3 linked regions of the Lonchura striata genome follow. The protein of the gene in region 3 binds, or shares a complex with, the protein of the main gene of each other region. Links are inferred from orthologs where the notes say so. Each region holds a gene or a part of one and is shown on either strand. Other genes may lie near its edges. The genes, in order: MBIP, DR1 and YEATS2.

What was found.
Region 1: YEATS2 (region 3) and MBIP share a complex: the UniProt entries of both Homo sapiens proteins name them as parts of the ADA2A-containing complex. The link is inferred for Lonchura striata from reciprocal best matches to the Homo sapiens genes YEATS2 and MBIP.
Region 2: YEATS2 (region 3) and DR1 share a complex: the UniProt entries of both Homo sapiens proteins name them as parts of the ADA2A-containing complex. The link is inferred for Lonchura striata from reciprocal best matches to the Homo sapiens genes YEATS2 and DR1.

The regions. Positions count from the first base shown.
Region 1 is NC_134608.1:24,889,914-24,899,944, forward strand, and holds the start of MBIP (MAP3K12-binding inhibitory protein 1), read left to right. Parts: upstream 1-4,713; 5' UTR 4,714-4,722; coding exon 4,723-4,845; intron 4,846-9,029; coding exon 9,030-9,149; intron 9,150-10,031. UniProt on the Homo sapiens protein: Inhibits the MAP3K12 activity to induce the activation of the JNK/SAPK pathway. Component of the ATAC complex, a complex with histone acetyltransferase activity on histones H3 and H4.
Region 2 is NC_134611.1:20,785,488-20,795,518, forward strand, and holds the start of DR1 (protein Dr1), read left to right. Parts: upstream 1-4,240; 5' UTR 4,241-4,322; coding exon 4,323-4,542; intron 4,543-9,259; coding exon 9,260-9,423; intron 9,424-10,031. Other genes in the region: retinol dehydrogenase 8, read left to right, coding at 731-914, 1,807-2,040. UniProt on the Homo sapiens protein: The association of the DR1/DRAP1 heterodimer with TBP results in a functional repression of both activated and basal transcription of class II genes.
Region 3 is NC_134612.1:2,974,757-2,984,787, reverse strand, and holds the start of YEATS2 (YEATS domain-containing protein 2), read left to right. Parts: upstream 1-4,546; 5' UTR 4,547-4,586; intron 4,587-4,933; exon of another isoform or gene 4,934-5,272; 5' UTR 5,273-5,285; coding exon 5,286-5,385; intron 5,386-8,454; coding exon 8,455-8,552; intron 8,553-8,651; coding exon 8,652-8,744; intron 8,745-10,031. UniProt on the Homo sapiens protein: Chromatin reader component of the ATAC complex, a complex with histone acetyltransferase activity on histones H3 and H4. YEATS2 specifically recognizes and binds histone H3 crotonylated at 'Lys-27' (H3K27cr).

The sequences.
Region 1 (10,031 bases), on a different chromosome or scaffold from region 3:
ATTTAAATATTAGCAATATAACTGTTCCACAGAAAAGGCTAAGAAGACTGTAATGTTCAGAAAAGGACTTGGCTCCCAGATAAGCTCTGTGAAAATCTTGTACATAGCACAACTGAAGAAACCTATTTAAAATATTCCTAAGCATCCATCACTATTATTTATTTTAAAATAATAGTCAGATTATACTGATAAAGATGCAAGCTACAGCTCTTAAAATCAAGCACTCAGTAATCAAAGAACCCCAAGAGTTAAATTGTCTCTGAAATAAATATGCTATATTCCTGTTTCCCTGTTAAATATAGATTTTCAAGTGTCCCGTTAAACTTGAGTTAAATATATAATACGTACGGCATGTACATATTAATGCAATGGAAAATTATTAATTTTTAGTCTGTCTTCAGGTATGAATGCTTAATTTCACAATGTTTGTGTCAAATTACCAACAGTTTGCATAAAGGGGAAACACTGTGATCATAGACACCTACCCTGCAAGGCACCTTCTACATTTTTATATGATAGTCTCACAAGAAAATGATAGGAAGGAGATTTATAATCAAATCTTTCAAAGTAGCTATAGAAGTCTAGAATTTGCAAACAGAGAGTAATTATAATAATAGTTCACTGGCTTCCTAAGAAGAGCTGTTGAGCTAGGACTTGCAGGGGTCAGTTCTCAATCCCAAATTATATAACTGAGCTGAAGGATTTTGTGCAGAGTGCTAATCATATTTGCAGATGGCAGCAAGAAAGAAGGGAGGCAGGTATATAAAATTTAAATATGTTGTAAAATTACTAAACAGCAACAATGAAAATAAAGACCAAAGTAAGGAAGAGCATGAAGCAGTATTAGAACATAACAAGGATAAAAAAATTCTGAAAGGAAGGGTCATAGGTACATGTGCATGCCAGGATAAGGACACTAAACAGAGTGCAGGCAACAGCATCACAAATGTTAGGAATGATCAAATTACTGCAAGTCATAACTGTAAGATACTTATAGGTTTGTTGGTTTCCCTTTTTTCTCTAACAGCAAATACATCAGGGTTGTATTTCCGCCAAGACATTTTGTACAAATCCCATTCCAATCCTGTGTGAACAGGGCTTTCTAAACTTTGGTAAAGTGAAAGGAACACCAAAAGGTCAGCAGAGACATTTGCTTTGAAGGAATGCAGCTCCTATTGGAGAGCCAGATTTGCAATTCAGAGCCTTATTTGATGAACTTAATAAGCACATGACTACATTTTAGGGATGCAGGCTGAGGTTTTCTCCAGCTAGGCTAGTGCTTAAAATTAGGCACTAGCTTAAGTATCTTGTTGAAACAGTATCCATAAACTTTGTTGGGGTGATGCCTTTTCCTGGGTACTTGGGAAGCAACAGAAGTGAAGTGCTCTTAATTCTGAAATTAATGCTTGGAAAAAAAAAAATAAAAGCTTTTATTTTGGAGGGACTTGGTAATTTCCTATTTTAACCCTATTTATCGATTTAATGAATATGTTACTATCAATTTCGTTTTTATAACTGTGTTAAATTAGCCCAGCACTGATAATCTGAATATTAGGAAAAACTACAATTACAGCAAGGTGTCAAACTGAACTATTTTCCTGGGGCTTTGGACAGAATTCACAGTATTGTTTTTATCTTTGAAGCTCCAAATTATTTCAGGTTTTTTTGGTTGGTTGGGGTTTTTTGTTTTGTTTTGTTTTGTTTTGTTGTTGTTGTTTTGTTTGTTATTTTTTTTTTCTGAAGCATTGCCTCTTTTGCCTTTCTCTGTGCTACAGCTGACATAAGCAGAATTACACAGCATGAGCTTTTCAATTCAGGAGAAAAAATCTGCTTATATGTTACACAGTCTCCTTAGCTCAGCACTTCACTCTTTGGCACAACAAACCTCAGTGACTGGTACATTCTGCCAAGACTCACCTTTCTTTGGGTATTAGAGACAAAATTAAAGAGTTCAGAAATTGTGTACTGTAATATTCAGGAGAAGAAAGAGTTATGACAGTAATGACCAATGGAGAGAACTTGTGTCAATTTACTAAGGTTTACTGTGATTTTAAATAGCTTAAAGGCACCTAGACTTCGAAAGAGGTGAATGTTTATCATTTTACAAACAAAATAAAAAGAAGCAATAGTCCAAAACCAAAAGAAAATAGTTTTCTAGTTCAAAATAATTTTACTCCAACCACAATATTTGATATTTAAGAACTTAGTGGATTTGTGCTTATATTTTTCAAGGTGTTTTCAGTGGGAGAGGCTTTTATATACCTCAATGATCCATTCAGGGATCAAAGCTGCAAAAGATTTAATATTATCATGACAGCTCTATCCCTGAGTGTTGAAAGCAACTCCAGATTACTCCCTCCCTTGTTTGTCATATTATTAAAATATCTGGACATTACTGCCAAGTTAGACATATTTAAATCTTCTGATTCCTCTTTCTAAACAAGTATCTCTATCTCTGGCAATCTACTTCTTGCCAGTTTTCTATAAATTTATTCCAAATTACCAGTATCTTTCCAGCAATGAGAGCTTCCAATATTTTATTGCTTCACCAGCTTTAGTGAACATGCCATGTAATTTCCTCTGTCTTTATGGAGGCCTGGATTTACTGTGGCTAGCTTTACTTCCAGAGGCAATTACAAGTGAATTAATTTTTACTGTGCACTACATCCAGTGAGTATATAATCATCTTCTGGAACCATTCTGTTCTGGTCTGTCTCTTCCATTAGATACGAAGGTTTGACATTTTTGCCTTAGCTGTTTGTTTAATGCATTGCCTAATTTAATCTGTGAAACATTAGATAATACCAAATTTATTCAACTAGCAGCTGCAACTCAGATCAAGGTCTTCTGAGACAGAGCAAGTAGGAAGAAAGTCTTTCCCCATGGGAATCATTACTCTTTCTCTAAGAGGAGACATTTGCAAACAGCAGGAAGGCACCCAAGATCCAGTTTCTGCTTAGTAAATAAAAGGTGGGCATCAACAGCTCTACTGACTACTTTTGCCTACTCTCCTTGTAACGAGCACAGAATAATGGTGCTCATTACAAGGAGACTCCCACTGTCTTTGAAATCCTCCACATTCATTAAATCTCCCTTATATTTCCATGTATCTTTCTGATATTTATATGCTTACCTATTTATTTTTCATTTGAAATGTTTTTTACCCCAAAACAACCTCTGGCTACAGGTAAAGATAACATGCTCAAAAGGAAAGGAAAGATCTTAGATCTCTCAGTTAGGAAGGCTGCACGTACCCATTGATAAAGTAGGATACATCTGCTCCATCACTCTAGGAAAGCTGGAATCTATCAGGTAGCTGAGCACTCATCAATTGAAGTAAAGAATTGGTTCAAATGCCTGGACCTGTTCTGTCTTATCAGGTCATTGGGAATTCATTCAGGATAAACTGCCTTCTCTGACACCGATGCCAGGTTGTTACATCTGTGATCCATAATTCTGCTCTGGCCAGCAGATCACTTATGTATTAATTCAGTGTTTTAGCACTGGAGGGGAAGGGGAAAGGGCAGTGTATTTTCCTTTATTCTTGAATTCTTCATTATTTGATCCAAATGACATTATTACATAGTGCAGGGTTGCTCCAGCTACGTGTCCAGAGACAAAAACTGCAAGAGTCAAGGTTAGCTGAAGCAGCCCTTGATCGTAAGCTGGAATTACTACTGTTGCACAGAAGTGCAAAACAGAATTCCACAAACGTTCTTAACTTACTACCATATTCTGTGCACGTGTTCAAAATACTATCTGACAAAAACTGTATTTTCAGGAATTAAATACATTTCTATGTTTCAGAGCTTCTAAATCACAAATACATTCTGCCGTATTTCTGAATCCAAACATTGGTCCTCATCAACGCAAGCAAATGCCATCTAGTTCAGCCTAGATAAGATATTCTTGCAAAATGCAGACATCAATGCATATGTTTGTAATCATTAAACACTGAAGTCCTCTTCAGAACTAATTTTTCTCTGGAACTTGAGCAGAGCTTTCTCTGCTTGAGTCCCATCAAATGTTGTGGGTTGCTGGTGCTGAAAGCCTTGTTTAGTAGCATTTATTTTCACTACATTAAGGTATGTCTTAGCTGAAAAAGAACCCTCAAAACATCAGTCAAATAAATTCATCTTCCTTTCTAATATTTTTATTTAACAATGTTTTAACATTTGTATATACTACTGCACTCACTATTTGTCAATTGAATAAAAAATATAGTCAGGGAACAGAAAGAAGTCACAGATCAAAAATAGGTATCAAAACAAACATCGGGTAGGAAACCTTTGAATGCATTTCTACTTATATTTCTTAGGAATTTCTACTAAATTTCTTAGGGAAGAAATTTAAAAGTAAAATGTCTTACAGGGAATAGAATTTTCCGACCCCCAAAATCAAGAGTACTCTCACAAAACTCGTAGTCTGATTTAAAAACAACCTTGCTGCAGCCAGAGGAGTCAAGGCTTTGAACAAAACGCATGAACGCACAAAAGTGAGGGGCAGCCAGCCAGGCCCAGCAGAAACAGGGGCAGCAGCGCGATGAAAGGCAGCCCCGCGGGCCGCTCCCCCGAAGGAGCCCGCGCTGCGCCTCCCGGCAGCGCGCCCCCACAGCGGCCCGAGCGCCGCCATTGGCTGCCGCGCCTGTCCATCAGCGCGCGGGGCGGGGCCAGCGCCAGGCCTTCGTCATCGCGGGGCGACGGCGCGGCCCGGCCCTGCGTCATGGCGGCGGCGGTGGCGGTGCCCGGCCCGCTCCCGCCCGGCGCCCGCGCTCCGGAGGCGGACCCTGCGGCCTCCGAGGTAGCGAGCAGCGCCCTGCGCTGTCTGGCCGGGCTGGCGGGGCAGGTGAGTGCGGGGCGGGCGGAGGGAGAGGTCCTGGGCGGAGCTGGGCTGGGCGCCGCGCCCGCCTCACAACACTTGGCTTTGGGGCGCGAGCAGGGCTGGCTCCTGCTTCCCCCCGGCCTGCGGGGCAGATAAGGCAGCTGCCTCTTCCGGGAGTGCCCGCCTGGTTTCTGCCGGGGCTGGGCGGCGGTGCCGGCTGCCTCCCCCGCTCCCTGCGGCCGGGGCAGCCCCCGGTGCGTGGCTGCTGCTCCCGCTGCGTCTCTCCCGCAGCCGGGACCGTGCCTTGGCCTCGCAGTGACGGGACCTCGCGCGCCGCTTTGTAGTTTGACGGATGATAGCTTCCGTGGGAAAGTGCAATTTGCTTAATTGCTGTATCTTATTAATTAATTGCTTAGAGTTGAAAAGCTGCTGAAAGCTTGCAGTACATTAAATCAAAATAAATTTTCAGGAGCTTAAAGTTAGCCCTGCCTTGGTAATGGCATGCTATGAAACACGCAGTGCCTCTAAGGGTCAGAAGTTTTAAAGGTGCTCTGCTCTTTGGCACTTAAATTGAAACACCTACTTTATGTTTAGTAATGTCTGTGAGTTGTGAAACAAATGTTACAGTAGTAGTGGAAGGCCCGCCCTTGTCAGGAGAAGGTTTTAGTAATAACATTTTTATTGGTATAAACAATTTATACATTAATTTTCCACTGTGGAAACATTTATGTAGTTCTGTGAAGACAGAAGTACACTCTTACTTCAAGAGTTAGCAGTTTGAAAGTTTGGGGCCAGATGATGAACAATATATGCAGGAGCTAGTGTAACTTAATGTATGTTTGGTAAAGAATTGGTCTCTTAGATGCAGAGGCAGTTTAGGAGTAGCTGCTGGCTGATCTGAAATGATATTTTAGAGTGTTTCACTTCTCATCTGTATAGAATTTTATTATACTTGCTTTTCTCCTCCAACTATGCTAGCAGTTGTCTCTATTTTCAAACAAAAGGCAAGAAAAATTAAGGGCTTGGTAATTCAGAGACTTAGTTAAGAGTCTCAGTTTTCCTCTCTCTAAAATGGTTAAAAACTGCTATGGCTTTTGAACAGGAGTACAGCACTAAACACTGTGATGTCCAGACACAGCTGACGCATAGGATTACCAAGGCATGAAAACTGTTGAGGTTTAAAGGCCCCATAATCCTTCCTGGTGAAAATTCTGAATGTGATCAATGAAGAGCTAGTGACTGTCAGTTTATCTAAGTGGGAGGACAACACTATGAATGACAGTAATAGAACACATCAGAGAAAAGCTGGAACTCTTGTATTTATGAAAAATACAAAGGAGAATAAGGGGAAAGTTTCCTAAGATTTTAACTGGGGTATTCATCAAAAGTTTATGAATTGTTTATAAACTACATTAAAAACTCTTATTCTACCTCTTGACTTCAGCAGCTTACTTTTTCTGCAAAGCTGCCTCTACAACTAGCATGTCATTGGAAAGGCCCTGGTGATTTTTAAAAATAACTGTGTGTGCACAGACCATTGTGAGAGAACTGCTTAGAGTTGCTACATCCCCTCAGTAGTTACAGTAGCTATGGTGCAGAGTATAATTGTCTTCTTTGGTGTTTGGAGTGTCTTCTTTCCTTGACAACAGACACGTTTCACTGTGTCACATTCAACAGTGCACTGGTTGGATAAGGATCTGGTTGCTCCATCTTAGCTGTGAAAGTCCTTTTGATTTCCAGTTGCTGACACTTGTCTGCCAGTGCTTGAGTACTGACAGATTTAACTGCTTAGGGATTCTAGCAAACTGCCTTGCATTTCTGACTGAAACTACTGATTCCCCATTTCCCTTTTATAGAGATGACTAAGCATGTGCCAAATTGTTAGCAGTCACAGTTTGATTCACTACAGTAGTTTAAGTTGGTTTTATGCTAGTAAATTGGGCAGTAAGCAGGAATATTTCTGGCACAGGATTTTTTTAATGGAGCAATCAATGGCAGTATGTGACCAGGACATCTGAGAATAACAGCTCTTAAAACCAATATAGCTGATCCTGAAAAGTTCTTTAAGATTCAAATGATAGCCAGTGTTTATGTAAAACAAATTTCAAAGAGCTGAAATTACATATAATCCTGTAAATTGAATAGGCTGTGGACTTGTAATTAGTCAAAGGCTTTGAAGTTATCAAAACATTGAATTTAAAAATCTGTTTGTCACAGTTCTAATAAGTAGTAGGATGTGAAAGACTGAGAACTTACTCTGTGGTACTAGAAACTTCTGTTGATGCAGGAGGGCTTTATATTTTTATTTAAAAGCAGTGTCTGAATTAAAAATATGACTGTCCTCTAAATGATTCTAAGTTCTGTTGCTTTTTGTGCCTTGAACCACCTGGACAGGAGGTGTCCATTGTGATATTGTGAAGGCACATATCAGATTATTATTTTTTAAAAAGGAGACTTATTAGGAAATTGCAGTAGCACTTCTATTTTGTTTCATTTGGATGACTTTAATCTGCCCCTTTTTTACCCTATCAGTAGACTATAATATAGCATACAGGAGATATTACTCTAGAAACTTCAGGCAGAAATACATGCTTCAGATGATCACATGCACAATGGCTTAATTCCTAAATTAAATTTTATTCCTGCTATGTTCTAAATACATTCTTGCTTTTGAAACTTCTTCAAGATTAGTATATCCTAGAACATTACTTCTCCTACATCCTGTGTACTTAGCTTAAGTACTAAACAGGGATAACCATTTGTGAAAATTATCTAAAATACATTATATATCTAGTCAGACTGTCTCCTTTGCTATGTAATTTGGGAACTGACCCTGAATTTATCAAGGCTGATCTTTGACTAAAGAAGGAAGGTTCAGGCTTATAATTCTTTACAAAATTGTGTTAATGCTGGGATTTGAAACTAACGTGGGACAGTTTATCATCCACAGCTTTGCCTGTGGAGTGATGAGACATTCTTGTGTCCAGTTCTCAGTATTTCATACACTTTGTGGTGGCTTCAGGACATGAGTGCATATGCATTCTGTGTTCTTGTTTATAAGGTTTGATGCTGTTAGGAGTTAAATGTCTTTAGACCATGAGTTGAAGGTCACTTTTGTCATCTTCTTGAGGTACCTTTTTCTGTTTCCACCCCTACTTTTTATTTTAATGGAAGGAATGAGGAATAGATATACAAGTACAGACATGATTTGGGAATTCAGTGTTGCTAGCAGAGTACCTGTAGTCCTCTTGATTTCAAACAGGAATTTATCTGTGTTTAGAATTTGGGGTATCACTTGCAGGATGTTTGGTTGGAGAACAACCTTCTTAGCTTTGGAGAATGAAAGTGATCATCTCTTTAAGATCTTGGGAAAAGCTTTAGAGTAACAAAAAGGGCAAAGTTGGGCGTGAAAGTGTGTTAGCTCATTAGAGTTTATTGATAATCATATTTGTATTAGGAAGTGTATTTATAGCTTGTAGAAGATACATACTTCTTTTAAACAATACTTCAAATTTATTATGTGTTGTTTTCTTTATTGTCTTGGGAGTTAAATATTGCAATTCCTTTGCAGTGAGAATAGACTGTGGCAATTGTTCATTTCAATATGAATGAATATACAGGAAAATAGTGTGATTTGCAAACAGTTGTAATAGTGATGCTGTTTAAGCTAGAGTTTGTTAAACTTTGAGATATTTTATGCCCTTATTTTTAATATAAAGCTTCTTTTGGATTAGCAGCAAGTAAAAATTCAAGATTGTGCCATGGTGTTACATCAAGACATGCAGGCATAGATAGTCTTGCAATCTTGGAATAAAATACATGAACTTACAGGACACTGCTATCCTGGGTCGTGTTCTTCATACTGGTGGTTCTAGTATTCATTAAAAGAAAAGATCGTGTGAGTGATTAACATGAACAACATGCTTTCATACAAGAATTAATTAAATAAAGCCAAGGATTGAATTAATACAATGAAAGTGTGATGACTAAGTAAGGAATTTTTAATTTTATAGTATATTCTACAAATACTAGCTTATTTGGAAAATGGCAGCTGCTTGGACTATAATTAATATCAAATATTTCCGATGCTCTCATCTAAAATTGGAATGGGTCTATATGAGACTGAGCATAATTGTTGTCTTGTAGGAGCCTTGTATACTTTTTTGATGTTACTACATATAATTTTTTATTGTTTTGCCCTATTGAAGCTTAATCTCGGAGAGGATATTGTGAAAGTTGTAATCGATTGGACCAAGCTTCAGAGCACATCAGCACTTCAGCCAGCTTTGCTCTTTAGTGCACTTCAGCAGCATATTTTATGTTTACAGGTAAATATTTCATGGGACACATTTGACTTGACAAAATGATCAACAGCTAAAAGTAATCTTTACTGTAAAATTCCAGTAATTTTGTTCTTACATTGCTGTGTTCGATAAAAAAGGATTACAAAAGTACAAAATGCTTGGGATTCCACTATGCTCCATAGGTACTCACATTTACAGATTTTTCAGATTAGTGGTGGGAATAGCCACTGTAGGTGAACAGGCTGAATAACTGCAGCCTCATTGATTTCTAGACTTGCATTGTAAATGTGATACATTTCCATCTATGGTGGGTTATAATTAAGCAATAAGACACGGCAGGTGTGTGTCATGCTATGATAATGATTCCATGCGTTGGGTGAGTTTTGAGGCTCATAGAGTGCTTTCAGTGGTTCAAGAAGTGGCATTATCCCAGCATGACACATCCTGGAGTGTCTTACTGCAATTAAATATATTTTCAACGTAGTTTTTTTTTTTTTAAAGAGTAATTTCTTTGACATTAATGTCTCATCTTGCCAAGTAGCCAGTCACCATTACTGTCATTTCTTTTAACTATTTGAAACTTTCCAACCCTGCCAAAAGTAATTTAGTTGCATGGCAGGGAGGGTTAGCAGTTTGTCAGCTGGTAACTGAGCAGTGTTTTGACCTTGATAGTTCATGTGTAAAAGATGGGATTTGCTGTAGCTAGCCAATGAATGATTTGAGGTGCCTAGTACTGAGAGGATCAAAAGGGAAGTTTCTGTGTTTTCTTGTCTGTAGGTAAAAAAAAAAGACCCTTTATTTTCCAGACATCCACCAGATCTTTGGTGTGATGAATAGAAAGAGAAAATATGCAAGATAAAAGCAAGTAAAATTTATATTCAACATGTAAGAGTGCTGTAAATGGGA
Region 2 (10,031 bases), on a different chromosome or scaffold from region 3:
TGAAGAACTCAAGTCCAGTAAGAGGCCCAATCCCAAAGAATGTTTTGATAAACACAGTGGCTGGGTGTTATTACTGCCTGAGAAAAGAACCAGGAAAAATCTGACCAGTAGCTGTATTTCAGTGATTTGCTATAATATGCTACTGGGCAAAATAAAAACTTTGAGATTTGGCAGCAGCCAGAATCTGTCCACCCACTATAAAAATCTCTGTATTGCATTTTATTATTATATAGTGGCGGGATCTTAAATCATGTAACACTAACAGCTTGAAAAAGAAAATCCATGTTCTGGCAATTCCCCTATCTCTTTCAGCTACTTCTAGTATTATAATTAGAAACAAAGAAACCTATGCAGGATTTGGTCCAGAAAGTAATGACTTTTGTTACCATCCATTAATTAATTTTCTTACTATCTGGTAAGTCCTTGTGAATAAATCACCCTTGGATTCCACGGCTGTGAGACAGCAGGTAACAACTGCACTCACTTATGTCATGAATTAAGTTACAGCACTTCTCTGAAAATTGAACTATGCAGATTTCTATCACTATATGTGGATGGGTAGAAGGAGCAGGGCAGCAGTAATGCAGTATGGATTGCCTTTGCAGAAAGTACTGTTACATACTGTTTGCTAGTGCAACTTTTCAATGTTCTTTTTGGAGAACAATTGAGGGTGTATTTTCCTTGGAGGACAGAAAACAACCAGTTAACCTCTTTTTTTTTTTTTGAACAGGTTAAGTTTGATTGAACCAGGCCCAGTGGTTACAGAGTTTGAAAGAAAAGTGTTTGAAGATGGAATGAAAATGGATCTTTCAGCTGCAGATAAAGAAACAGCTGAGATGTTTACTAACATTTACCTTAAAAATTACAAACAAATTTTTCAGAGCCTGGGACAAAGTGCTGAAGATGTTGCAGAGGTAACTCATAAAAAATTCATCTTTTGTTGTTGTTGTTTTCTTCCCTTTGTAATTTATGAATACAGTGGTTGGCTGGTGGGTTTTTCTGGTAGAAGCATTCAGATTAATTAAATGTACACAATTAAAAAGTTTTTTTAAAAATTCAAAAGAATTTTCAGAGTCTTTAAACAAAAGTCTACAAAATACTAAAAGAATGTTCATTTTGAATTATTGAAGATAACTATGAATTGTAATTTAAATACTACTCAGATATTGGATGCCCTTTACATCCTCTGGTGAAGTCTGAATATTCTGCATTGTTACCATACATCCACCCAGGGTTCCCAGTACTGGTAAAGCTCTGTCCTTTCCACCTCACTCATAATCCCTCCACTAAGGGAAGTTCACACAGCCACCCCAGGCCACCAAGGCACAATAAAAGAAACTTGGATGTTTCTGATGTTTGAAGCTTCCTGCAGGAAGACAAGTTTAGGCCACCTGTGGGAGGGGATGATGATTTCAGGTGTTTGCTAGAAGGAGTATCTTTAGTGTCAACTGATGATTCCCAGATCTTGGTGTCAAAGGCACAGTCCTGTCCCTTTAGCAGTGAACTGCAAAAGAGAGGATCTACCTACTGTGGGCATATAAGCCCACAATCATTTGGAAGACTACTCAGGATACTAAATTGTCAGATGCTATTGCCATGGTATAGAGAAACAGAAGAATAAATAAGAAATACTTCTTATGGCCTTTGAATATTTCAAGAAGAATTTCTAATGATGGTTTAGTAAAACTATACAGGGTTTTACATAATTCTAGCACTTTATTCTTCTACTTTTCCACTGAAAACTGGGTTTTTACTTTACTGTCTTGGTAAAGGTTCTTTTAAAATTCTGTTTCTCCTTCTCTACAGCATACAGTAAAGATAATTCTTGCAGAAAATCCACCTTTTCGCCATCAGACCAACACCTTGTATACTCCAATGACAACTCTGAAGTACGCAGATCCAAATGGAGATCTACCCATTGACATATTCTACAAAATGGTTTTTCAGCATGACAAAATCTTCAGTGCAAGTCTCAACTTCATCAAATTGCTACGGTGGAGAAGCAGAAAGAGCTTTGACCTGGGAAAACCTTCACAATAAGTATGAGATTATATAGTGCAAATTGGAATTATTTTTTGTAGCTACTGATGACACAGTATGTTGTTATTCAAATGCCTTTGGTCTGTAATTAAGAAAATGCATGCAAGGTACTTGTTTGAGCTTAGCTAAGATATTCATTTCAATGTGTATCTCTTGAATGTTACTGTTTGCAGACCCTTGCAATTAAAATCCTCTAACTGTAGTTTTATTCTGTTTAGTGTTTTGCTTTTTCCAGAGATGTTTTCTTAGGAACACGAACACTGACTGATATTTGTGTATTCAATATTAACCTGACCTCCTTCACTTACTTGAATATAATACACACTGAGAAGTGTACAGTATGCAGATGATTTAGATTCTTAATATCATAAAAATATGTTTTTACTTATTAGGATAGAATCAGTATTGTAATTGGTCAATTACACTGCCATTCTCATTTCCAGAAGTCGGATCTATTTATCAGCAACATAAAAGAAAGTCTCATCAATCTTAAAATGTGACTAGTAGAATATTTATTATTAATATATTTTTATTATAATATTCTAAATGCTTCCTTTATATGCAGTGGTTACTAGCATATTGCACTTAGCAAGCAATAAAATGTTTTTTTAAAGCATCTTAAAATAAAATATCTTCTTACTGTCTGGGTACTACTTTTTGAAAACAAAGAATTGTCAGTAATAAGTAATCTCAATCCACTGAATTCCTTCAGTACCTTCGGTGTCTGATACAGAACCCTCTTGTTCCAAGCTATCCTAATAAGTACGTGTTAAACCAAAATTCTGTCATGTAGAGCGGATCTTTTCCCTTGCTTTTTCTCAGCCTAGTGCTCCAGGTGGTTTGAGGCCAAGGTTTGAGGGGAGCCTGGCTGCAGTGCTATTGCTGAGCCTGTCGTTGCTGTTCCCTGACCGCAGCAGAGGCCGAGTGACCCTCGGGCCTCCAGGCTGCAGCTTCCCAGCACATTCCACCCACAGAGCCCAGCTTTCCTTCAATACCGTCTCAGAGAGCCAAAACCTAATTCCGTGCTGCGACTTGCAGCGGCCCCGCCCTGCCTCTCCCCAAAGGAGCTCAAAGTTTCTGCGGCTCCCAAAGACTGCGGCTAATGCAGGGCTTGCTCTGCAGTTGTGACCCTTTTGGTGGGGCCTAGGATGCAGGGGCATGCAGGGGACTGAGGGGACAGGAGCAGCCGCAGCAGCTGCTGTGCACAGCTGGGGGCCCCAAGCAGCCCAGCATCAGCGTGTGGATGAGAGGTGAACAGAAGCAAGCCCGAAAGGAGAGAGCAGGAATTAAATGACAGCAGAGTGCTGCTGGGGCTGAAGGGAGCCTGGCAAATTGCCCCTCTGCAGCTGAGATCTCCTTGCCACCTGCTGAGGGTCAGCACAGGGTACTGGACAGAGACACCCACAGAAGGGCTAGGCCTGCCAGCAGCCCCAGTGTCGCTCAGCTGTGCTTGTCTCTGTCCTGCAGCTCGGGCTGGGCTGCATTCCGGGGCAGTTTTTTCCTTTGCAGCACACAGCAAGACAAGACCAGGGCCGTGGGTTTAGTGAGCCTTTCACAAACACTACCGTGGTCTGGCTAATTCCGTCTCGTGCAACCCTCACACTACTGGCTATGAAGTGAGTGCAAGCAGAAAACACAGTGTAATAGATAGATAGCTGCCGAGTAAAGCCAGCCCTGCCTGCAAGTCGTGAATCAACTGCGGAGGGACGAGCCTGGCGGGGCTGTCAGATCCCCTGCTGCTGCCGGCACCGAGGGGAAAGCCGGGTGTGGCCGGGTGTGGCCGGAGCGCAGCTCCAGGCGGAGGGCGGCGGCTGAAGGACCCCTCGCCGCCGCCCGCACGTGGCAGCGCGGCCTTTCCGGCGCTCCCGGCGGCGGAAGCCGCTCCGGCTTCCGGCGGAAGCGCCGTCCCTCGCAGGCTGAGCCGGGCTCGGAGCGTTTCCGCCTCGCGGCCGCCGCACGGCCGGGCCAGCCGGGGCCAGCGGAGCCGCGCGGGGCTTCCGCCGCTCGCCTCCCCTCACACAGCTCTTAAGGCAGCGGCGCCGGCGGCCGAAGGATGTGGCGGAGGCGGCAGTGGCAGGCGCCGCGGCCGAGGGAGCCCTGAGCCCGAGCAGCGCTTCCCGGCGCCGCGACCCTCCGGCCCGGCAGCGACCCCCGGCCCGGCCCCGCCGTCCCCCGCCCCTCGGCGACGCCGCCCCCGCGGCCCCGCCCGCCCCCGCCGGGTCCCCGCGCCCTGGAGGCTCGCGCGGGCGCCGAGCGCAGCCCGTGAGCCGAGCGCAGCCAGGATGGCCTCGTCGTCCGGCAACGACGACGACCTCACCATCCCCCGGGCTGCCATCAACAAGATGATCAAAGAGACGCTGCCCAACGTCCGCGTGGCGAACGACGCCCGGGAGCTGGTGGTCAACTGCTGCACTGAGTTCATCCACCTCATCTCCTCCGAGGCCAATGAGATCTGCAACAAATCGGAGAAGAAAACGATCTCCCCGGAACACGTCATACAAGGTGAGCTTCCGCGGGTGCTGTGCCGCTGCCGGCCCGGGCACCTGGGAGCCGCTCCTGTCCCGCTGCCGCGTTTTCCCCTCTGGTTGCTTGTAGCTACGCAGAACACAAAAGGCAGGCTCTGGTAAGGGTGTGGAGGAGAAGCGTGTGCTGTCTGGCTTGCCAGTCGCGCTGCAAGAGAGCATGTCTTTGTGTGGTTAGAGCGGCTGCTGGCTGTGCTCAGGACCAGCTCCGGTGTTGTGCCTCAGAGAAGCCTGTGGTGCTGTGAGTGAAGTCGTCAGATCTCTTCCTCGTACCTGGGAAATGAGGTCTGCTTTTTCGAATGGATGTGCAGCGTGTTTCAATAATATGAATTTAGTAAATTTTTTTTTTTTTTTAGTTGGAGATTGATTATGTGGGGCCCAGACTTTATTCCATGGTATTCTTGTCTGGAATCTCTAAAGAGTATATTTCTTTAGGACTGTCCATAGAGTCTCATTGTTTAATGTTGGATCTTCGTATCTGTTTCAGAAAGCATTTAAACGTGACCTATGCCCTTGTATTTTCTGTGCTGTTTACTTGCACTTCTACTTGCTTGAATAAAAGGCGAGTTCTCTCTCTGTCTTGTTGGTTTTTCTTTAAATTCTGTCGCAAATAGGTTTTCTTGCCTCATCCCGAAGTCTGCATTAGGCATCGTTTTTTGTCAGAAGTCACTTGCTTTGCTTCTTAAGCCGGGGTTGTTGATGTCGTTGTTTGCTGCAAACAAATTTATAGCAGCAGTAGTGAAAGAGTTCTTCACTCGGCTGCTTAGTAGAGGTATTAACAGCAGCATTTGTACTACAGCTGTTTTCAGGGCTATGATGGTATCGAGTTCGTTTAAAAAAATCTTGTCGTGATCTGATTTTTTTAAGCAATATTTGCTGTTTGAAGGAAAAAAAAATTACAGAAGAGGTTTAAGTACTTGACTGGGTCATGAACTGCAAAAGAAAATAAGTAGCATGTACGAGCTTTAATATTAAATTAAATGCATGTAAGCTTGCAAGTTTAGCAAAGTAGCTCCATCACAGAAGCCTAGGATGTAAAGTAAAACCTGTGCTTGCACATGGAAGCATACTTTAGGTGTGATGCTCTTTAATACATGGATAGTTTTTTCAAGTCGCCACACAAAATGTTTGAGGTTAGTTCTTAACACAGGACAACGTGTAATCCTTAAGACCGAGGGCAGTAAAGGGTTTATGTATGAAAGTATTTTGTACCCAGTAGTGGTAGTCTGTAGAAAAGAGTTCACCTATTGCTGTCCTAGGCTTTGTGCAGGTTTTTTGGAACAGAAATTGAAACTAAAGTGGGTGTGCATAACATCAGCAGATGGTCCCATGCCAAGTATTTTGCTGGGTTCTGTGTCCTTATGTTATCACATCTCAGAGTTAGAAAAAGTTATTTTCAAATTAAATCTATACTTTGTAGCAAAATATTGCAGTGTATCCATTTTTGTAATGTTTTAGAGATGAATGGATTTTCTGCTGTGCTTATGTTTAAGGAAGTAATTGCTATTAGCTCATTTCCAATGCTGGTCAGCTGGCAGATGATCCTTCTGTGAGGTTTGAGGGTTTTGATTGCCACTTTTGGAAACAGTGATTGTGTGTATAAGTAGAGCATTTCAGCATTTTCATCAATCTTCATACATTCTAGATACTTGCTGTTTTGAATGCCTCTTAATGCAGCAGCGTCATGATAACGATGCTAACAAATGAGGCAGTTGAAATCTGTTGTGGTCGCCCATGTATCTTTTTTGTTCTGAATGCTTAGAAGTCAAATGAGGCTAATGGCCATCACATCACACCTGGCCCAGCCTAAGCACAGGGTGCTGCCAAGAGGAGTCTTTTTGTACTTTCTGAGAGCGGGAGAGTTCAGATTGTATCTGGCAATTGCAGATACAGCTGACCCTGTGGCCTTTGAGAATTTAGGGCAGAGCAGGGTTTCCTCTCAGGTGAGTTTGCTGGCTGACTGGGGTCTACATGGAATTGTTGTGCAGTAAGGTAGGCTGTGGATTGATGTCAAATCTTGTCTCTTCTTTTCATGGACTGTTAGGATACTGACAATGTGTATATTAGCACGTAATTTTAAGAGTCCCACAACTGTTCATGTTTGGGATTTTACTTTGGGAGGTCTTATTTCCTTTGAAAGGAGCATAAAAAATTAAAAGTCTCAGATATTAATGGATTGATTTTATAAAATAAAAGTATTACTAGCTATGTGTCACTGATTACTCAGAGACCTCCACCTTCATGCAGTCATTAAGAGTAGGAGGAAACTGGGAAAAGGATAATTGTGATTTGGTGTTTGTAAATATGAATGGTGCTATCCCAAATGCTGTATTTTGGAATTCAGCTGTTTACATTTGGTGGGATAATTCTAGCCTCAGGAAAATACTAAATTTTAAGTCATCTGGGTAGGATGGTATGTTTAAGACTCAAAAAATAGAAAGGCTTTGAGTTTTGATGAGAGAGCAGCTCTGATAGAGTAGTAGTCACTTGTCCCACATTTTCTCACCATGCTTGTATAAAGGGATTCATAGTCCTTCCATTCATATGTGTTCTGTAAGCCTTGATGTGCTTCAAGAAGATGGTCAACTTTGTAAGTTGTTTCACAGGCAGCAGAATTTTGATGGAGTAGATTTATGATGCATAAATCATTTATGGTTATTCATAGCTTTGTTATATTGAATAACTGTAAAAATCTGTCTTGGTTGTATCACGTGAGGGATTTTAATTTTATTGTTGTGTGTGTCGGTGCTATATTCAATTCACAATTGTAAGTTCTTTCCATTAATTTATTTTCTTTTAAGAACCATATAAAATTTCTGCAAAAACACATCTTGAGATTAACTTCAGACTCGGTAGTCTGATCGTTCAGATTGCCAACCCTTTTCTTTTGACAAACACCTCTGATTTTGCTGTGATGATTTGTCTTAGTGATGTTAGACTTGTAGATTTCTTCAGTTTGATTTAAAAAGTATGACTTAAAGAAGTTTTCTGTATATATTGTCATTTTAAAATTGATATATTGTCATTTAAAAAATATATATATTACATTTTAAAATTGAATGAGTTCTTAAATATCTGTACAGTATTAACGTAACCAGTTCTGGTCTATGAGACATGGATTTGCCTCCTCTCTGCTGAGGCTGGATGAAACAAGCTTTTGAAGTTTTTGGTAATTCTCTCAGAAACTGTGGGCTAATTGGAAGAAGTATTTTCAGTGTCTGTGTGTGGGCTGAGTCTGAACTGGCATACTGTCTCTGAAGTAATTTGGTTGTCTCTAAATCAGTTTGTCTTTTAACTTCATTTCTTTAAAAGAAATAAGTATTATGTGAATTTCTTTGCCAGGTGTTCTCTATTAAAGAGAAGGTAGTGCTGTAAGACTAGAGGGCAGCACCCACAGCACTGCTGAAGACTGTGTGAGTTGTCTCTTAGTACAAGTTGGAAGCTGAAAACTTAGAGAATGCCTTTGGGATATTGTTTAGATTATGGTACCATGATGTGCTGCTGTAGTTATGGCTAGGAAAATGTTGCTTACAAAACTAGTGTTAGAATATTATCTGAGTTACTGTAAGATCTTGTTTATAACAAGTTGTTGATTGCTGTTGTGCAGTTTAGTGCCGTTTCTTCAATAGCTTGTCACAAAAGTTTGAAATTAAGATAAAGGTTAAAACAACTCTTGTGTTGTAAACTCTGAATTGTGTAAATGCTGGAAATTAACCATGTTTTTTATTAAACTGATACTTGTTTCTAGTATAATTGGTGTTTATGTAATGTTTCCAGTTTATTCTGTAATAGGTTCACTTTGGGTGTGTGTAGAGGCATGTCATAGTAAATGGTGCATGAGGAAACTGCCTTTTGTCACATGTGCTACCTGGGTTTTTATAATCCTTTCTGCTACCTTTGCATTCTTTAAAAAAAGTGTTGTTGCAGGATGTAGCTGCTTTGCCAATGTCTTCGGGCAGATAAAAGTGCAAGATTTTAGCTTCTGAATACATTTTAATGTGGACATAAATAGAAGGGGTTCAGTTGAGAAATAAAACAATAAAGTGCTTATACATAACTTTATATGGCTTTATATGTGTGAACTATGCATTTTATATATAGGAATTTAGATCCTAAAAGACAAAAGTTAAAATTCAGCAACCCAACATAATATTATTTAGTTCTGCCTTTTTGAAGGATCTATGATCACTTTACATGCATCACTTCTGCTCTGTTGTAGGTTTCTAATTTACCTTCTACTGAAGACTTGCAAAACCTGCAAAGGTAGAATCTCTGAGAGAAAATTCAGATAGAAATTCAGTTAGGAAGGACTTCTTAGCTGTCTAAATTTTGTCAATTCTGATATAGAAAAAATGGGATAAAGAGGTCTTTTGGAGAATAATGCCTGTCTCTAGCAAAGTGTATCTGAAAGCCCTGAATCCTCTGCAAGTGTAAGCTTCTTTGGTTGTACATGATGAACCTTAATTTTTTTAGCCTAAAAACATGTATTCCTATAGGACATAGCAGAAGGGGGGGGGGGAGGGGGAAATAGCTGTCAGATCTCTTTAAGAATAGAGGTTTTTGTCAGCAGATAATAAGAAAGTTACCAAGTGTTTTACTTTTTTTTTTTTTTTTGTTTTAACTAAACAAATCAATATCTATTACCAGAAACTTTGTAGAAGGTAAACAATGTCTTTTTTTTTTTTATTTCTTTCTAGCGCTAGAAAGTTTGGGGTTTGGCTCCTATATCAGTGAAGTAAAAGAAGTCTTACAAGAATGCAAAACAGTAGCACTAAAGAGAAGAAAGGCCAGTTCACGCTTGGAGAACCTCGGCATTCCCGAAGAAGAGCTACTAAGGCAGCAACAGGAATTATTTGCACAAGTAAGTGAAGCAATCCTTGTCCTGATGAGCTTGGAATAATTAATGCTGCAGGTCTAGGGCCATGCAAACATGTGCACATGTTAACAAATATCCCCTTCCTTGAGAATTGATGTGGCATCTGAGATGATACTTCTGTGATTTGACATATAGGACTTCGTATGTGAACAGATTTCATATTCTAGTTTTAAAAAGCATGGAGTTTTGCTGCTACTTGAGTATTTTCAGTCTGTCATGGAGAAGATATTGAGAATTAGTTGACGAAGTAAAAGAGTAACAGCTGGTTTCTAGGAAATGACCTGTTTTGAAGCATTAAAAAATGAAAATAGCTTTTCTGTTTCTGACCATCAGTGCATAAATGTTATTTCTTATACTTGGAAAGAAACTTTATTCTTGGCAAGACTATAATTGAGTGAATTCATGCATAAATTTTTAAAGAGGCCATTGAGGCATGGGAAAAGCATTTGTCTGCAAACAGTGTACTAACACATACACATTCTACTACTTCATCCCAGCCTTATCCCCTTCCAGTTTTCCCAGATAGTTTATCATCTCCCAGTTTGACTAAAACCTGATTTTACTTACTTCTTTTTCTCCACTATCTTTCTCTT
Region 3 (10,031 bases):
TCTACACTGTTGAAGCAGAGATATTAATGCAGATTGTGTTGATATGGACCCTTACCATAATTTACTGAAGCTTTTTAAATAGTATTTTTAACATTGCAAAGTTTTGAGAGGCTGATGATGGAGAAAGAGGAAATGCTCACTTGGACAGAGATTCAGAGGAAGCTTTGGTCACCTGTGCTTGAGAGCAAGGATGCTACTGCCTGTTCAGTTTCTTCCTCAGAACAGCTGAGTTCACCTCATTATCTTGGGTAAACCTTTGTTTATCCTGCTTGTCTCTGACTTGCTGCAGGGGCAGAACAAGAAGCGGGCCCACTCCCTGCCTGTGACTTGATGTTTGCCCCTGCCCGAGGCACAGGGCAGGTGCTGGCCAGCAGAGCCTGGGCTGAGTCCAGCTCTGAAGAGCAGAGACAGGAGAAAAGCATTGGAGCAGGCTCAGAGATGGCAGGAGGAGACCCGGGGTGTTTGGGGGTTGCAGTTTAGCTGGGCTTGCTGAAACCAAGGTGTTCAGGATGCTCATAAGTTTGCAATTCCACATGCTGAAACTCAGGTGGTAAAATGTTTCATATTTGTCAATTCACTGAACTCACCTGGAGCAATAAAGATGCAGATATGCTTATGGTCTGCTAGTGGCAATGCTCAGGAAAGCCAGGGGTTCATTTTTCTGAATTGCCCAAATAGGCAAGTAGCTGTGGGGTTCTTTACCACTGAAGATGGCAAAACCCAATTCAAGAGGATTAAGCATGTCACAAGACTTGATCACTGTGAGGCACAGCGAATACTTTCATCTGAATGCAGTCTCATGTACACAAGAAATTACAAATTAAATTATTTGTTGTGCATGGTTAAAAAAATCTAAGCACCATATACTCAGAAAAGGAACCTACAGGGAAAGATGAAATTTCTAAGCAGAAACCTGCTTTCTGGTTGGGGGCCAAGCAGTGCTTTGGGTTTTGTAAAATATGTTTTGCACACAAATTTCCTCAGTATGAAATTATTTCAGGTGGCATTAATTAAAATGGATCACGATTTTGTAACCAGCAGCCTCCCACCAAGCCCAAAGCAGCTGTGAGTGTTCTCTGCTCCCTGCCTTTGTGTCACACACAAGTTCATTATAACGTTACTGTCTAAGAACTGTAAGCTATTTGCAGGAATATTTCTTTTTTTCTACTGTAGAGATCCAGCCAATGCTAATATGTTTATGTGTGCACATCTGTATGTGAATTATTTTGTGATCATTCTCTGATAGTGCTGTTACAAGTGATGCACATTAAGGCCCTGTGTACAACTTGTTAATACTGTAATCAGGGCTTAGTTTGTATGATTAGCTCCAAAGAAAATAATGTGTGTTAAATTTGAAAATACCTGTGCCTTGAATTCACCACTATTTTTATCTATTTTGAAGAAGAGTTTGGATTACTCCTCCCAGTTTTTTGCCTTTGTTATGATTGGTCTTACTGTCCAGACTGTTAATGTCCTTCTAGGAGAAATAAATCTTGCTGTTCATTAATTAGCACAGTTAAACTTGTTTAGAACATGCCTAGAATGCTTCCATTATTACAGTACTATTGCAGATCTAATCTAGGGAAAGCAGTATTTGTTTTTTTCTAATTTTTGTTTCCAGCAACGCCTCAGTGACAAAGGACTGAGTTTAGTCTTTGACTTCCTGTCCTTAACATGTACAGTTTCTTGTATTAGTCAGTAGCCTCTGTGATATTTCTGAACTCTCCAAAGTCATCAACCTCTTGTTCAAGACACAAAATATGAAGCAATAATATGGTGCAGCACGGCAATAAGCAAATCAAGAGACTTGAATGTAATGTACTGTTACTAATTTCATCTGTGTAAATGCTGGACCTATGAGTCATTCTCCTTTTGGTGCACCTGTAGCACTTTGGAGTCAGATTAATAGGAACTACTTGGCCATGGAAAGAGAGTTTACCTCCTGAACAGTTACTCATATTTTCGCCTGAAATCATATTTTCATTTTCCTTTTTTTGCTGAGGAAAACAGTTCTTGTTATTCCTTGCCAGTTCCTTTATTTACTGAAACATAAAAGCTGTAGTTCACGGAGAGCTGATCTTGCCCTCAAGAACAGCCTGGTGCAGCACAAATGACATCTGAACAGGAAAGCTCAGACCACTTACTGTGTGCCAGAGTCAATGTAACGGATCTCACACACAACATTAAGGTCTTCAGATTGTGCTGACAGTAGAAAAGTGATTTTGTAATGTAGCATAATTGCAGTTAACACCTGCTATATTTAAATATACTTCTTGCATAATTCTTTGGAAGTTTTTTAAAGTTCAGTGTATCTAATAAACATTTGCCTTTTGAATAGTTCACTGTGGTTTATTTAGTTTATGAGAAGTTCCAGGGTGGGGCTTGGTGTGGTACAAGGAGGAAACTCCCTCCTGCTTTTTTGGGCCATGTAACTTGTTGGATTCTGCCCCTTGTGCACTCTCTCTCCTTTGATCTCTTCTCCTGCCTCCCAGTCTAGGAGTTTTCTCTGCTGATCTTTCTGCCCTACCACGGGGAATAAAGGCAAGCTGGAGGCTGCACAGAAGAGCAAACTTGAAGCAAAACTGGAAAAAGTGAAAAGCAGGGAGTGGGATATGAAATACTGGGTTAGTCCTGGGTATTGTGATGAGAAGAAAATGCGAATGGACTCAGAAGGCAAAACCAGCATAGGAAATTGGGAAAAGGTAACAAAACATTGGGAAGGTCACTAGCAAAACTTGGTTTGGGCAGAATCCTGTAGGTTTATTCTGAAACTGGAGGCTTGGCCGTCTCAAGATGCCACACACACATGGCAGAGCAGGGGGCAAGGCTGCAGGGGGCAGAGCCCTGCTGAAAACGTGGCAGGCCAGCAGGGACTGCTGCAGCTCTGCAGTGTGGCCAGGCTTGGGTACAGCCACAGACTGGCTCTTGCTGCAGGAAAGCAACTTCCAGGCAAGTTCAGTGCTTGCAGAAGCTCAGCTTACTGCAGAAGGAAGTAATTGGGAAAAAAATGAAAGAGAATCCCCACAGACTGCAAAGCAATGGAAATACTTTTGAGAGCTGAAAAACCCACCTTAAGATATTTTAAATCTTAAATACAGTCAACTGGTGGCAGTATTCTAAGAACAGCTTCTTCCTCTTTCCATTAAGCAGAAAAAAGGAAGAAAATAAAATACACTACAGTCATTCCTGGTGAATAGGATACTGATTGTGTTTAAGAACAGTCTCCATTGATCTGCCATACTTCACATCTGGCAGAAAGAAAGGTTGGTAGTGTCAGAAAGGATAGTAGTGATCCTGAAATGAGAAGACCTTAAAGGCTAAGCTTTGAACATTCAGCATAGACCTGCTAATCAGTAGCCTCATAAATCAGTTTGCCAATCCAAGAGTGAACAGGATGTTAATTTGTGCTGGTTCAGGGCTAACTGAATGAAGCATGAGGCTGCCACGGACCATAGCATTGATACCATTATCTGTATGTGACAGAGGTATTGCAGCCTGGCCAGAGCCAAACACAAACCATGGCATTAGCCGCACCCATTGCACTGGTTTAGCTCTGACTTGAGAATATGAAGTATGATGAGTATTAAGTATAAGGGTTTTTTGAAGCCTATCTAAAGGTAGACCAGGGCTCCCATCCTGCCTCATGCTGTGAGCTCGTGCTCTCTGCAGCGCGATCACTCCAGGACTCCCTTCTTGGGTCTTTTCTTTTGCTAATCATAGGATCACAGAATCAATTAGGCTGAAAAGATCTCAGAGATCGAGTGCAGCCTATGACTGAACATCACTTTGACAACTAGACCGCAGCACTAAGTGCCACATTCAGTCTTTCCTTAAATATCTCCAGGGAAGGTGACTCCACCGGCTCCCCGGTCAGCCCGTAGCAATGCCTCATCACCCTTTCTGTGAAGGATTTCCTCCAATGTCCAACCTGAGCCTCCAGCACAGCTTAAGGCGATGTCCTCTCACGCTGTGCTGTTCCCTGAGAGCAGGGCCGGCCCCAGCTGGCTGCAGCCTCCTGGTCAGGAGCTGTGCAGAGCCGTGAGCCCCCTGAGCCTCCTTTGCTCAGGCTGGACACCCCCAGCTCCCCCAGCTGCTCCTCGCAGCACTTGTGCTCAGCCCCTTCCCCGGCTCCGCTGCCACTCTGAACACGCTTCAGCACCTCGATCGTTCTTCCGTGAAATATCTTCCACGCTAAAAAGTCCTCCTCAGACCTTTGAACACGTTAAACCACGTTAATCCAGGTCAGGATCAAATCACTGCGTTCGCCTGTCCGTACACGAGCCCGACCGCGTCGCCCATCCCGGTTTCCCCGCTCTGTGCCCGCTCTGTGCCCGCACCCCGCCGCGGGGCGCTCCCGGAGCGCGGCCCGGCCGTGAGGCGGCACCTGCCCGCGGCCGCCCCGCCCCGCCCCGCGCGCTGCCCGCCTGCGCGGGCCCGCCCCGGCCGTGACGGGCGGCGCTCGGCCCTGCGCTCATGGCGGCGGCGGCGGGACGGCGCGGCGGGGGTCGGCGCTGAGCGCCCCGGGCGGCGCGGCGGGCGGGGCCGGCCGGTGCAGGCGGCGGGGCCGGGCCGGGCGGCGGAGCGCGGTGAGCGGCGGGGCGGGCGGAGCGCGGAGAGAGAGCGCGGCCGCGGCGGCGGCTTTGTGTGCGCGGCGGGGGAGGGGAGCGGCGCCCGCACGTGGGACCGGCCGCGGGCAGCGCTCCGCCCTCCGCGCCCGGGGCACCGCGGCACCGGCACCGGCACCGCGGCGGCCTCCGCGCCGCCTCACGCCTGCGGGTCGAGCCCCGCTGCGCTCCCACCTCGGCGGTGCTCGCCGCCCCCTCACGGCAGGGTCGTGGCTCGGGCCGAGCCGCTCTGGGCGAGGCACAGCCGCTGTGTGACCCCGCAGCGGGGAGCCCCGGGCCGGTGCCGGGGCAGCTGGGCCCGCCGCCGGCCGCACGCACCGGTGTGCCCAGCATTGCCCTTTGAACGGTGGCGGTGCCGTGCGGGGGGAGCCCCGCTCTCCTGGGCTCACGGGGCCGCTGCAGCTCCGCTGGGGCTGTGGGCACCCCGGCTCCGGTGAGCCGCAGGCGGCAGGAGGCGTTTGGGGCTCCTGGGCTGTGCGGAACAGAACCAGCTCTCGGCTGGGAACCTGCGCCCTGATCACTGCCCCCACTAGAGAGGTGCCCCTTCTCTTTTGAGGGGTGCACCACAGGCCTCCACATGGTGAGAGGTTGAAGCCTGCCCTGACGGTCACTGTGGGAAAGGTTAATGCTTTTATTTTTCCTGCTAGTGGAGCAGAGAACATGTCTGGGATCAAGAGAGTGCTCGCAGAGAAGGACCCCGACTATGAGGAGATCACCGTCACACATCCCAGCAAGCGGCACAAAGCAGCCGAACAGTCAGGTAGGAGCTGTGGAATTGGAAATTCCAAATTGTCTGTAAACCAGTCAGGAAAAGGCTGGGGTAGGCATTAGGAGCAAAGGACAGACGTTGAGCAAGGCCAGTGGTGGTACCTCTATGTAGCCAAATGAAGATGTATCTTATGTGGAGTCCTCCCTTCCTGCTATCTGAACCAGAAGTAAGGTGTGAGGAGGCAGCCTTTGGTGCATGATAGGAGATGGAGCACAAGCTGTCCAGCACTTTAGTTCAGCGCTTTGATTCCTGTTGCTTCCTAAAGTGGTTACAGTCCACCTTCCTGTGCTGAGTAGTTATCCAGCCTGTGTATTTGTTCTGTGGCTGAAGTGTGCTCTGGGAAAGATTGGCAGGTTGTTTACATTTTGGGGGATAGAGGTCACAATACAGCGTGGGGAGGAGAAAAAAAATCCATGACCCTGCAGGGTAAAAGAGATGCACAACCCTGCAGTGCACGCACTGGCTGTTGGAAGATGACAAATGTTTGCACGAGCTGGCAGATGAAGCAGAAGGAAGCTTCTTTGATGAAGTGTAGAAAGGATAATTTAGGGAGAAGGAAGGGACTTTGAAACATGCAAGAGAGGAGGAACAGGAGCATGACTGAAGGAAAGGTGGATAAAGAAGTGTAGTGGAGCAAGTAGCTGGATGAGTAGGTTTGCATTTGGCACGCTTGGGTATGCTTGCTTTGGGAACCAGCCTGTTGGCACAGTGCCTGGGACAGGTTGCAGTCTCTCTGGGCAAATGAGAGTAGAGCTGCTTGCCCCGGGGGCAGGGAGTAGGCTAGTGATTTTTGGCATAGCACAGCTAGTGAGAGAGGATTGCGATGGGAAGAGCTGACAAACAGGGAGGTGAGAAAACCGAGGCTGGCTGTGGGCTCTGAAAAAGATCCAGGAATAGAGCTGCCAGTTGGAGAGTGACAGAGGATGGCTCAGTGGGTGATGTTTTGGAGGATGCTGTACAGCTGGACAGGTCTGAGGAGGCTGAACTCAGGGTTGAGTGTGTTGCTGGACAAGTCCTTCTGCCACGTGGGGCCTGGTGCAGCTGTGCTGGAGCTGCCCATGTCACCATTCCCAGCTGCCCGCCCTGCCTGGCTGCCAGAAGCCACCACCCTTAGTTCTGGCGTGTCCCAGGGGCTGCAGGCAGGTTTTTAATCTGCTTCTGAAACAAACTTCCAGGAGGTCTTGATGATGAGCAGGCAGAGTCTCAGGGCCTTGGAAAACTGGCCTTGCCAAAGTGAACTTTGCTTTCAGGAGATTCCTCCAAATTGGCTTCTTTTCATGAAAGATCTCCAGCTTTCAATACTAGAATTCCTTAACTACACAAATTTCACTATCATGGTCTTAATGAGGCACTGTGGTTGACACTAAGCTGAGAAAAAATTAATATAAAGTGTTCTTAAAAGCCTCTGTAATATAACCACAAATCCTGAAGTGTTTGAATCATCATGATGCTGCTGTGGCATGGCTTTAGCCTTGGAAGGAGATGCAGTTGTCCCTCTCTGAACTATACCTCTCATGCCTTGATCTGTTTTGTTTATTTTAAGCATATAGCCTTACATGAGAATTTCTTCATCGTGGGTTCATGGCTGGAGGTAAATTATATCCCTCTGGTTTTTAATTTGCCTTACTCAAATGCAGATTCGACCATAATTGTGTTTTAATGTAGGCTTGAACTATACACATACACACAAACATATATATATATGCCCCTATATATATCAACATATAAATATATATACATACATATATATATACATATATATATATATGCCTGTGTGTATATATGTATGTGGAAAGGAAGAAAATTATTTAGTATACCCCTGTTGCATATAGAGGCATCAGTTGCCTCACTCCTGTTGTAAGTACCTGATCAGACAGTAAAATGATCTGTGCTATCTGGAAGATACCAGCAAAGCTTTGACTTGCTTTCATTTCCCTTCTCTCTGGTGATATTAGAAACCTCTTCAAACAGATCTGTACTTTTTAGGAGGACATATGCTTCCTCTGAAGCTCAAGCCAAAGTCTTTGTGCTGTTGCCTCCTATTTCATGTAGAAACAATGTAAGATTTTTCCAGGGAAAACCAGACTTTTGCTGATCTGCTTTATTGTGGGGTCACTCCATTACTGACACAGGCTGGAGCACCTTTTCCAGGCTTTCTTCTAGAAGTGTAATTCCTGCTTTGCCAGGTTCTGACTTAGAATTTGCTGAAAACAGTTGTTTGAAACCCCTTGGTGTAATGGAGGTGCCCTAAATGAAGGGTGATATTAAAGTCTACAGTAGGTGTAGAGCAAAAAGAATAGTTATGTTTATACATATCCTAGAAAAACATGGTAATATGCCAATTCCATTCTTAGCCACTAACTTGCGGAAAGGTATTTGCACAGTTTGAAATCCTAAACTACATACTTTCCACCAAGGTCACTAAACTCCTGCTGAAAGGCTAAATTTTTTTGTCTGCTGTGCTGGAAGAGGATTTTGTAAGAGGTAGACCAGCTTTAGATAATGTAGTTTCCTTTGTGAGTAATAAACAGCTTGTAGGCACTCCAGAGCAGGCTGCACTTCGTGCCAGGGCTGTATAAATATGAGTTTACTTGATTCTTGCTGTGTGAGGTGGTGTAAATCTCCTGGATGTGGCTCTGGCCAAGGAGAGCAGAAGAACATCCGTGGTGTTCCAGCTCGCTCCGGCGCAGTCGCAGCGGTGCCTGCGCTGGGCCAGCACTGTGGAGTTTTCCTTTTACTGTTTACAGCTTTACTGGGGCAGAAGTAAACAAACTGGCCCTGTTCTTCCCATTTTCTGTTACTTGCCATCTCAGACCTAAAAAGGGAAAAATAGCTCTCCACATAAGCTGGCTTTTAAAGATACATGTGGTTTTTGTTAAGACATAACTTTTTTTTTTTTAAGAAAATGATCCTTCCCTTTATGTGTGTCTGTGTGTTGAACTTACTATCCCTTCAGTTCTCACTCTGTAGTGATTTCTGATCTTTCTGTTTTCAAATGGAGCCTCAAAAATAGAAATGTAAATACTTCCTCCTTTATTTTCCATGTGTGGCCTTGTACAGCTCGAGATGTTACTGTGCAGAAGATTGAGACCATTATAAAGGAACAGTTTGCCGTCGAAATGAAGAGTAAAGAACATGAAATTGAAGTTATAGATCAGGTATAAAGGTTTTGTTCTTATAAATACCTAAGGTCTTGGTGTTTGGGGCATGGGGGATTGCTGCAGTGCTGACCATTACTCTTTGTTTCCTTTCTGCAGCGCCTGATTGAAGCCAGGAGGATGATGGACAAGCTGCGTGCCTGCATTGTGGCTAACTATTATGCCTCTGCTGGCCTCCTCAAAGCTGGCGAGGTAAAAACTACTCTGGGAGTAACAAGACTTCAGGGAGTCTTTGCAAAGGAAGGTGTAGAGTTTCAGTGGCTGTTAGCTGATGTTTGGTGTTAAGATGTGATTGAATGAAATAGTGGAATACAAACTGCAAGTGGGGTGGCAGTGGGAGAGGAGACCTTTGCATCATCTGCTGGGTCCTGGCAAGGAGGAGTCTTCAAGAAGAGTTGCAAAGTTGTTCAGCAGCCCCTGGTTCTGGTTTCTGAAATATTCTGCATTTTTTTTCCTCCTCAGTTTTTCCCTGAGAGCACTGTCTTGTTTCTCAGACACTGCACAGTTTGTCCTTGCAAAGCCGTGAAAAGTGTGGAATATGTTTTCCTGTTTCACAGGAAGACAGTGGCAGCACATGCATTTGGGGACTTTTCAGGAAAAAAGAAAAATAATAAAGATTTCAAGATTGTTTGAGACTCGGGCAGTGCTGTGAAACGATCTTCCCTTTATCCTGGCAGTCAGTCTGTTAATGGTTGGTGAACAGACTGATGGCAGCAGTAAAGCAGGAGATAAATCAGGGAGATATCACAGAGTGATTAAAAATTCACAAGATTAAAAAGCCTCAAACCCTGTTAGTTAAACCCCAGTTCTGAGCACTCTGCCCTTAATGACTGCTAATTGCAGGGTGTTCATGACTGTACAGAGTCCCAAATGACATGTAGTTCATTACCAGTGTAGGCATTTTGTTACCATCTTTTCAGTTCAAGTTGATTTGATTTCCAGTGATTTTTGGAAGCTGTCAATGGCTGCTGCAAACATGGGTTTCGCTCTAGTCCCATAAGAATTTCTCTTCCAAGCACTTGCTCTCAATGCTGCTTCTGGTTTTCCTGTTGTGCTCTTCAAAGGACTTGGAGTGAGGTAAAAACAAAAAGGTTCAGCTTGTTTTTCCCTCTCTGAAGTTGAGTTGAGCAACTGGAGTTTGAAAAGGTTGTGGTGGCCTTGGGAGGCTTGGAGATCTCTCTGCCCCTTTTAATTTTTGTGTAGGCAGCTGAAGAATGTGACCTAAGTTCTAATCTTTGTAAGTGCCTTTGTCCATTGTCATCATGTGTCTGCAGGAGCTGTGCTGTGGGGTGTTTGCTTTTTTCCCTGTTGATTTTCACACTTTACAGAAAAAATATATTCTGTAATTGTTTTGAGGTGTTCACAAAACTTACTGGTGCCTCCTTGCTTTATTTAGTTTTCCACTAGTTTTTATGAGTTTATGGCTGTATCTTTATTGCATTTTTTTTCCTCAAAGTCCTGATTTGCACACAGATTAAA